Linked DNA regions of Coturnix japonica. The protein of the gene in region 1 purifies or fractionates together with the protein of each later gene. This does not show direct contact. Links are inferred from orthologs where the notes say so. Each region holds a gene or a part of one and is shown in the gene's direction. Other genes may lie near its edges. The genes, in order: STYK1 and TMEM259.

What was found.
Region 2: the proteins of STYK1 (region 1) and TMEM259 purify together in Homo sapiens (affinity purification with mass spectrometry; 3 studies listed by BioGRID and IntAct, with this or other methods). This does not show direct contact. The link is inferred for Coturnix japonica from reciprocal best matches to the Homo sapiens genes STYK1 and TMEM259.

What each region holds. Positions count from the first base shown.
Region 1 is NC_029516.1:70,357,223-70,361,704, forward strand, and holds the start of STYK1 (tyrosine-protein kinase STYK1), read left to right. Parts: upstream 1-1,682; 5' UTR 1,683-1,784; intron 1,785-4,482. UniProt on the Homo sapiens protein: Probable tyrosine protein-kinase, which has strong transforming capabilities on a variety of cell lines. When overexpressed, it can also induce tumor cell invasion as well as metastasis in distant organs.
Region 2 is NC_029543.1:1,976,660-1,981,186, reverse strand, and holds the start of TMEM259 (membralin), read left to right. Parts: upstream 1-1,536; 5' UTR 1,537-1,799; coding exon 1,800-2,021; intron 2,022-4,373; coding exon 4,374-4,527. Other genes in the region: phospholipid-transporting ATPase ABCA7, read left to right, coding at 1-90, 159-251, 326-569, 647-805. UniProt on the Homo sapiens protein: May have a role in the ERAD pathway required for clearance of misfolded proteins in the endoplasmic reticulum (ER). Promotes survival of motor neurons, probably by protecting against ER stress.

The sequences.
Region 1 (4,482 bases):
CCTGAAATTTACAAGTTAACAACTGCCTGTTGGATACTATTTTTAATCCATTTTGAAATCATTTTCAGTGATTCAGAGGGAATTACACTCAATTAATTGGCTGTATTTGTGCCAATTAATGATTTTAGTATCTGTATCAAAGAGTTCATAGAATCATAGAATCATAGAATCATAGAATCACCAAGGTTGGAAAAGACCTAAAAGATCACCCAGTCCAACCATTCACCCATTACTAATAGCTCCCACTAAACCAATCATTAGACAGTTCTATCTATTATTCTGCTACAGCCTCTCTCTCAAATATCCTGACACAGACCAGTCCCCGTTTTCCAAAGTGAGCTGTAAAATCCCCATTTACATCCAGTATTTCACACGCACACCAGATAACTGCACATACTAAATTCTGTAACTATATACCCAGCTAAGTTGTAGGAGCAACCTCAGCTTAAATGTGCAGGAAGCAAAAACAGGTAGACTCAAGCTCATCAGTGAGTTTCTGAACCTTGATATTGTCCAAACATGAGACATACAGCCTTGCTTTTATTTCCTTCTCTGAAAACAAGGGGTGGGATGACACTATGGATAGAGTTTCACTGTGGTAATTACGCCATGCAGTAGGCAACGTTTTTGTTTGTTTTATCTTAAATATATGTCATTGCTCAAGCGCTATCAGAGGGTATCCATTTTCAGTTTTTTATTGTGTGGAAGTGTGGAAGGAACGCAACGAGTTATAATGGATTTAAAGCTCCATCAGGGTGCTTCGTGTTCAGAGGTCTCACCAGGCATTTAAGTCTTACTAAATAACTATGTGCCGACAAAGCAGGGATGCCAAGGGTCTTAAAAAAGCGGCCACAGTCCCGATTTCATCCAGACTGTCACCCACCACAGTGACTGCAGGGCAACCTCACTCCGCCGCGATGCCCGGACAGAAGGCAGAGAGCTGGTGATCCCTGCACCTTTACCACCCCATCCCGAGTCCCAAGTGTCCGTGAGGAACCCCGTCAGGATCCTTTAGACTCCTCCCCGCCCTGGCAGCCCGTACCGCCTCGCCCTGTGCCAGGCCGCAACCGACACGCCTAACAGACCCCACGGCTCAACCCCAACCCTCCGAGCTCGCGTATATAGCGCGGCTCCCTCCTCCTAATTCTAACAACAGGGACGGGCGGGAGCGTGACACGAGAAAACGTTCTTCCCTGTACGCTCGTGCTTGCTCTGCCCTCGAACTCCCCACCTCGGTTAATCTTCTGTTTCACGACAAGGAAACGCTTGGACAAACAGTTAGGCGGCCGTGAGGAAAAGAAGGGGAAGGACAGGGGGCTGGAAGTGGCGGTGCAGCCGGACAGCTGTGCCCCGGAGCCGCGACAGGAGGGTGCTTGCTGGTTCTAGCACTGTCGTGTCCGCCCAGCCTTCCTTCCTTCCAGCGCGGTCGCGGCCGGCCCTGGGCTGCGGCAGAGCGGGCACCTCAGCGGGCCCCTGCCGCGCTGCTCCCCGGCCATGGCCTCCTGTGAAGGCCTGGCCCTCTGCCTGCTGCGTGCTGCCTCGTCCCCGGCCTGCCACAAAACATAAGTACTCCCGGAGGTCGGAGAGCAGAAGGTAATGCCCCCCTTACCTGTCTGCGGTTCCCCAGTTCCCACGGCCCTACACCGCGACACCCTTTGATGCTGGCGTCCTTTACCCACCAGGTACCCCGAGCTGTTGTTGTGAGAGATCTGAAGATAAGAGCCAAGTGATGCCTCAAGCACGAACTCTCGAAGTTGGCTGCATCTGCTTTCTTTCCTACAGAGGTACACCTGCCGTCTTCATGATTTTTGTCTTTATAAACAGTTATTGGAGAAGGTGTTTGCAGGGCTAAGCAAAGAAGGGCAGGAAATTCTATGATGGCTGAGAAACAAGACACAACGTTTGTCCAAGTTGTTGATAATAGGCTTTAAGTGGTATATAGGAGACTGAGGATCACGGCCCTTTGAATGGGTCACACCCCTGATTGTGTCCTATTCTTTATTCCTATCCAAACCTTACAATCTGTTTCTTCTAGTATCCAAACATCAAACTCCTCTTGCTTTTAAATAATTGAATATATTAATATTTTAATTATGTGTGAAACTTTTACTCATCTCTTGTAGCCATCGCTCATTTCACTGCCAGCTGTGCACAATAAGTAGCTAGTTTGAATATTGCACTCCACCCTTATGCAAAGAATAAACATACCAAGTTACATGAAAACTGTGGAATTTACCATGAAGTACCGTGTTGCTAAAATTGTGCAGGGTGTTGAAAGTAGGCAAAATCTTTCAAAACAGATGAAAGAAAAGATAATACTTGGCTAAATAAATTCTTGTATCACGGGTTGCTGGAGGCAATGGAAAGCATTGTGAGAAATACCATTTTATGTTGTTTTGAGCTTTAGTTTCCCTAAGAAGTCCCATGGCCAGCTGTCTGAGGCACAGTGCTCATTAATGGACCCCTTGTTTGAAACTGCTATGTGATATATTGTGATATGTACTTCCTAGTTCTAGTAAGGTCTCTGTGGGCAACCTTCCTGGAGGAGAGATGGCTCCTCTACTTCTTTTTGTGTGAAGTGGTGCAATTTATTCAATACTTACACAGGGTGCTTAAGTATGTTCAACAGCTTCTAAGTTTTGTCAGCAAGAACTGTTGTATTCTCACTTGGAAATGTGAACTATGTGAAAAAATGGAGTGGCAAAACCCAGGAACTTAAGAGGAAAGTTTGTATGTTTAACAGAATGAACAAAATGGAAAGAGGAAAGGTCAAATTAACAGAAGAATATGCATACATAATGTGCTCAGGAACCCAGTTGCTAAGGTCAATGACACCCGGAAACTACACAAAGCTAATGGAAATGCAAGTGATATGTGCTGCACCTACTTTCCAGTCTATCAGTTGCCCTATTGCCCTTGGAGTCCTGGGAAGAACTCCATGGGCTAACTGTGGATAAGTACTGATTTTGGGATGCCAAAGAGGAGATCCTTTCAGAAGAAACTTGTTTTCTGGGCAGTTACTTGGAGTTTGCTGATTTTTGTGACTTTTCAGCCACAAGATTAGCCCTGTGGTTTTAACAGTCTCTTCACACAAGAAAAAGACTGAATGGTTTGTGGCTGCGTTTGCTGTCAGTCTCTAAAGTGCACTGTAGAGATTACTGAGCAGTTGTGTATGTGGTTTGAATGGTTGCTTCATATGCTGTAGATGTCTCGGAGATAAAGAGGACACTTGTGTTAACGGAACCGCCGCTCCACCAATTTCAGTGCGCCTTATCATACTTGCATAAGGAAAAATAGCAAGAGGAACACAAACATTTAAACAGGCAGTGTTCTCCCTGTGGATGCGCACAGACAGAATAAATAACTTGTAGCAGAAGTTTGCTTTTAACGAGATGAAACGTGACAATAAATGTGTGCTGTCCCTTAGCCGAACAGGAGGAAGGGTTTATGGACCAGTGAGGAACACTGGTCTGAGACCTGAACTCTGAACTGTTTAAATATCTTCTCCGACCAGTCTGACTGGGAGCACAGCAGAAAGATTAACTAAGGAAACAAAAAGCAGTGGGGATTGCTGCTTTTGCTTATGCATGCCTTGAATATTAACCCCTTGCATTTTTCCCCCCTTCCCCCCGCAAAAAGGGTATTTAGAAAACTGAGGAAGAAGGAGTGAAAGGAGGAAGACTATCAGTTATTGTATTTTTAAACCCTAATCCCTAAATAGGAATCAGGTTCCTCTGAAGAGGTTCCCCCAGCTGCCCTTACAAAAGGAGCGTGTGGAAAGCAAAATATTTCAGTAAATAACACAGGTAAAAGAGAAAATGTTGTTTTCAGTGTATCCATGTATTAAGCAGGAATGAGTTAAAGGACAGATCCTGTGCATCCTCATGGAAAGAATAACACTGAGAGTCAATGAAAGTTAGCACCAGCATAAAACAATGACAGAAACCAGAGCCTGAGCTTAAAGTTTGCAGCTGTAACAATCTTTGCAACTGAAGTAAATGCTCAGTCTGGAACATGGGTGTCCATCTTCCTGACATGCTTGGGCTGCACTGTGTGAAGAGGAATTATCTTGGACAGTATATAAAACATATAACAACAGAGACCATTTTGTTGAGGGACACGGTTTAGTGGGAGCTATTGGTAATAGATGAATGGTTGGACTGGATGATCTTTTAGGTCTTTTCCAACCTTGGTGATTCTATGATTCTATGAATTGTTTGGTTGTTTGCTAAGGGATGGGTGCACACCCAGGGCCAGGCCAGACCTCTTGGTGGGGCAGAGCCACCACCATGATGGTATGGGGCAGGGAGCGAACTTCATTGTGAGCTGTACTGGGCCACATGCAGAATAAGGGCCACAGGTTGGTTTGCACAATCTAGGGGATTTCTCTTCTGGTTTTTCAGGGACAAAACTCCACATCACTGAACTATTTGTAATTACTGTTCTACCGGCTTACGTAGAGATCATGCAGTGAAGAGACAC
Region 2 (4,527 bases), on another chromosome or scaffold:
GGGGATGGACCCAGGTGCCCGACGTTTCCTATGGGACTGCATCCTCAGCCTGGTCAGGGAGGGTCGCTCCGTGCTGCTCACATCGCACAGGTGGGTTCCCAGCACAGGGGATACCTGTGGTCCCTGCTGTGTGTATCACACCTTCCCCCCTCCGGCAGCATGGAGGAGTGCGAGGCGCTGTGCACCAGGATGGCCATCATGGTCAACGGCCGATTCCGCTGCCTGGGCAGCGTTCAGCACCTCAAGAACCGGTAATGGGTGGGGGGCTGCCCTGCTGGGTGGGTGAGAAGGGGCTGCCTGCATTGCCGTCCATTCCTTGGTGCAGGTTTGGGGATGGGTACACGGTGGTGGTGCGGGCTGCGGGGCCCGGCCCTGCTTTGTGTACAGTGCAGCAGCTGATGCAGCGCAGCTTCCCCGGCATCGCGCTGCAGGAGCAGCACGGCAGCACGCTGCAGTACCGCCTGCCTTCCAATGCCTGCTCCTTGGCTCAAGTGTTCGGAGTGTTGGCAGCGCACTGCGGGCACGGCCACATCCAGGATTACTCTGTGTCACAGACCACCCTAGACCAGGTGATGGCGGTGGGGGGGCACGGTGTATGGGGTCCTTCGTGCTGTTGCTGCTGCTCACCCCCTCCCCATCCTTGCAGGTCTTTGTGCACTTTGCCAGGGAGCAGAACGACGGGGACCAGGTACAGGACATGGGATCAGGGCAGGATGCAACAGCAGGGCAGGATATGGCCCCAGTGGTCGGGAGGACGCCGTTACCGTTCCTGGAGGACGACAGCTATAGGGAGAGCGTGGTCTGAGTGTGGCTGAAAGCCCCCTGGACCCCCCCCACCAGCCCCAGCCCTGCTCCCGGCTGGTTCACAGCCACTGGTCCCGGTCTGCCGCTGGCCTGGAGCCCGGCTGCAGCACGCTGCTGGTTTGGGGTCACGATGTCCCGGCTCGGAACCGCAGGGGAAGGCTGGTCCGCTCCCTACAGCGGGGCTGAGTGTCGGGCTGTGCTGCTCGCTCTGAACGCGATAATAAAGCGCTGCAGTGCCGCGGGCGGAGCGCCGTGCTTTGTGGCTGTGACAAAACGGGGCCGGGGGGGTGGAGGGGGAGTAAAAAATAGAGCTGGGGAGCAGCACTGAGGGGTGTCGGTGTGCAGTAAAAAATATGGAACGCTTCACGAATTTGCGTGTCATCCTTGCGCAGGGGCCATGCTAATCTTCTCTGTATCGTTCCAATTTTAGTATATGTGCTGCCGAAGCGAGCACGACTCCCTATTCCCATCGTCGGCTATATAAACCCCTTTTATCTAATAACTTTAAAGTAATGGTGAGCTGAACTTTTATATGTCTGTGTACTTCTTCTTTTGGTATTACCCCTTTAATAAAAGCTCTTACTTATTCCGCTCAGGCTCCTTTTTTGCAGGAATTTGTCTTTTTTTGGGCAGAACCGTCTAAATTTTTTGCCGAGCGCGCGCGATGCACGGCGGGATGATTCCTATTTTACATATAGGGCGGGCTTCCTTCTTCCGGCCATCCCACAATTCCTTGCGGCGCTGCGTTACGTCGGCGCTGTGCGTGCCGCAAGATGGCGGCGGGGCGGTGCGGGGCGGACGGGGCCTAGTGAGGAAGAGGAGGAGGAGGAGGAAGAAGAACCGCCACCCTCCGGGCCGCCCATGGCCTCGGAGCCGCCTCAGGAGCCTCGTCCCATCCGAGCAGCACCGCTACGAGACCGTTCTAAGGGCTGCTGAGAGCTGCAGCCCTGTTGTGTGGCTGTGGGTTGAGACCAGGCCTGTGTGTAGGCCCCACCATGTCCGAAGCTCAGCCCCATGGGCAGCACCCCCAGCCCAACCACACCGGGGCCGCTGGGGGAACCAATAGGGCCGGGAGGAACGCGGCCCTCAATCAAAACCCGTTAATTAACGTCCGAGACCGGCTGTTCCACGCGCTGTTCTTCAAGATGGCAGTGACCTACGCGAGGCTTTTCCCTCCTTCCTTCCGTCGGGTCTTCGAGTTCTTCGTGCTGCTCAAGGTGAGGCCAGCAGAACCTCTGTGTGCTCATCACACACGGCTGTGCTTATGGGGTTCTATTCCCTTTAGATACAGTCGGTGCACAGCTCTGTTTTATCTCTGCTTCTTCATAATCAACGCCCTCAGCTGTGTGCCAGGTGTCCTCCCTCTAAGGTGAAGCCTGTTTGTGTTTTTGCTGATGTAATTTGATGGGACAGAGTGGCAAAGCTGAATTCTGCAGGGTCTGGAAGTTACAGCCTCCCCTATAGGAATCTGACTGCAGTATCCTGGTGCTGTGTGAGCTCAAGTGTTGCCCTGTGGCTTCCAGAGCTCATTGTGCCTCTCTGGGAATAAGAGAGGGACACAAAGGAAAGGCAACTAGGTAACACAGGGTCTGGAAGTTACAGCCTCCCCTATGGGAATCAGGCTGTAGAATGCAGGGCAGCCTGGTGCTGTGTGAGGTGAGGTGTTGCCCTGTGGCTTCCAGAGCTCATTGTGTCCCTCTGTACCTATGGAAATAAGAGAGGGACACAAAGGAAAGGCAACTAGGTAACACAGAGTCTGGAAGTTACAGCCTGCCCTATGGGAATCAGGCTGTAGAATGCAGGGCAGCCTGGTGCTGTGTGAGGTCAAGTGTCTCCCAGAGCTCATTGTGTCCCTCAGTGCCTCTGGGAATAAGAGAGGGACACAAAGGCAACTAGGTAACAACACGATTCTTGTTCTATGGGGCTCTAAAATCCAGCCTCTGTATTGTACGTGGGCACTCTATTCTCCCTGCCCAATTCAGGTTTTGTCACGCCAGGAGAAATTCCTGCTGCCACCTGCTTTTAATTGAAGCACATTGAGGAAATTAAAGTATTCCCAGAGGAGATCTTTGCTTCTGCCCTTAGGGTGAGCAGGCAGCTGTGCTTTCAGCCTGCTTGTGGCTCTGTGTGAGGATAGTGGTGGGAGGCCAAGCCTGAAGCCACGCTGTGCTTGGCATTCTGGTGCTGCTCCTGGCTGCTTTCATCACCGTTCCCCTTGCACCAGGGATCTGTTTTGGGATTACCTTCCTCATTGTTTTCCTATGCAGCTCATTGCAGATGTGCTGTTACCAGCCTGTTTATTCATAACATATAGGTCAGAGTGCATGGCAAAGACAGGTACTGTAATCAAGAAGAGGCATCTTAATGCAGTTTAAAAGTGAATGCATGAAATGCAACTGTGCTGCTTACAGCTGTTCTTTGGAGCTTGAACTTTGGCCAGTGTTGGATAACTCCATTCTAGGAAACGGGTTTTATTAGTTCACTTTGTTTTGCTGTGACTTGGAGCTGAAAGCATCTTTCAATTAGGAATGAATTTGCTCCAGCCTGAAAGGTCTTTATAATGGAGCTCCCGTTGCTCATTGGTAGGCTGCATGCTTTTAAAGCAAGCCATTTTGTTCTGATAATAACACTCCTTTGCATCCCAACTCCTGGTGTTGGTTCTTGCTGCTGCCTTGGGTGTGTTTGTGTGGCTGGTACTTTAATGCTGAAACCCCATAGCCCAGAGCGTGGCTCTGTCCTGTTGGATGTGCCACAAACCCATATAGTCCTCTGCAGCCTTTTATTTTGAATACAGCAATGTTAATTCCATCATTAACATCTGGCTGAGAGCAGAAATCAAACACAGATTGATCTGAGTGTTTTACGACCTCTCTGAATAAGCTCGGGTGGCCTTTCCTGGTGGTTGGGTTGTGTTGGCAGCGGATCAGTTGACAAAAACCCATCTGTGGATTGGCAGTTTTCTTCCAGGCAATGCTTTGAAATGAGGGAGAATTCAGTAGGGACTGAGTGGCAGTTGACCTGCTCTGTAGCTGTGCTGAATGCTGCTGGAGCTTGGAAGGAAATGCTGTGCCCTTATGCACACAGAGGCAAGGCAGGAGGCACTTTGCACGTGGTTTTGTGCAAGTCAGCACTTCTTTGACCCTAGGCAGTGTATGTATTAACATGGCAGTGTGCCTCCTGGGTGGCAGCCAGCTGCACTCAGCCCCAGCACGGTGTGTTAATGGAGGAGTTTTGGTCAAAGGCACTTTGGGAGCTCTCATTCCCAGGAAAAGCTTTAGGGCTCTTAGTGTTTAACCTCAGAAAGACGAGGTTTCAGCAGGTTAGCGAGGTGTCAGAAGGACAAAGTACAAAGGGAGTGTTATATAAGCACTGGAGCTGGAAGAAAAGTTGATTTGGGGGCTGTTCTGCTGTTTGATGCAAATACAGTTAGGGTTAGAAAGCTTAAAGGCTCTCATCCACCTGCAGCTGTAGTATCTGCATGAAGAAGGGATGGCTGAAACTGGGCAGCCTATCGACGGGCAATGTTTGGTTGGGCTGACAATCTCTGCTTTGTTTCTTGCTGTTTGTAGGCTCTCTTTGTGCTCTTCATCCTGGCGTACATTCACATCGCCTTCTCCCGTTCACCCATCAACTGTTTGGAGCATGTGAGGGACAAATGGCCGCGTGATGGCATCCTGAGGGTGGAAATCCAGCGCAACTCCAGCCGGGCCCCCATCTTCCTGC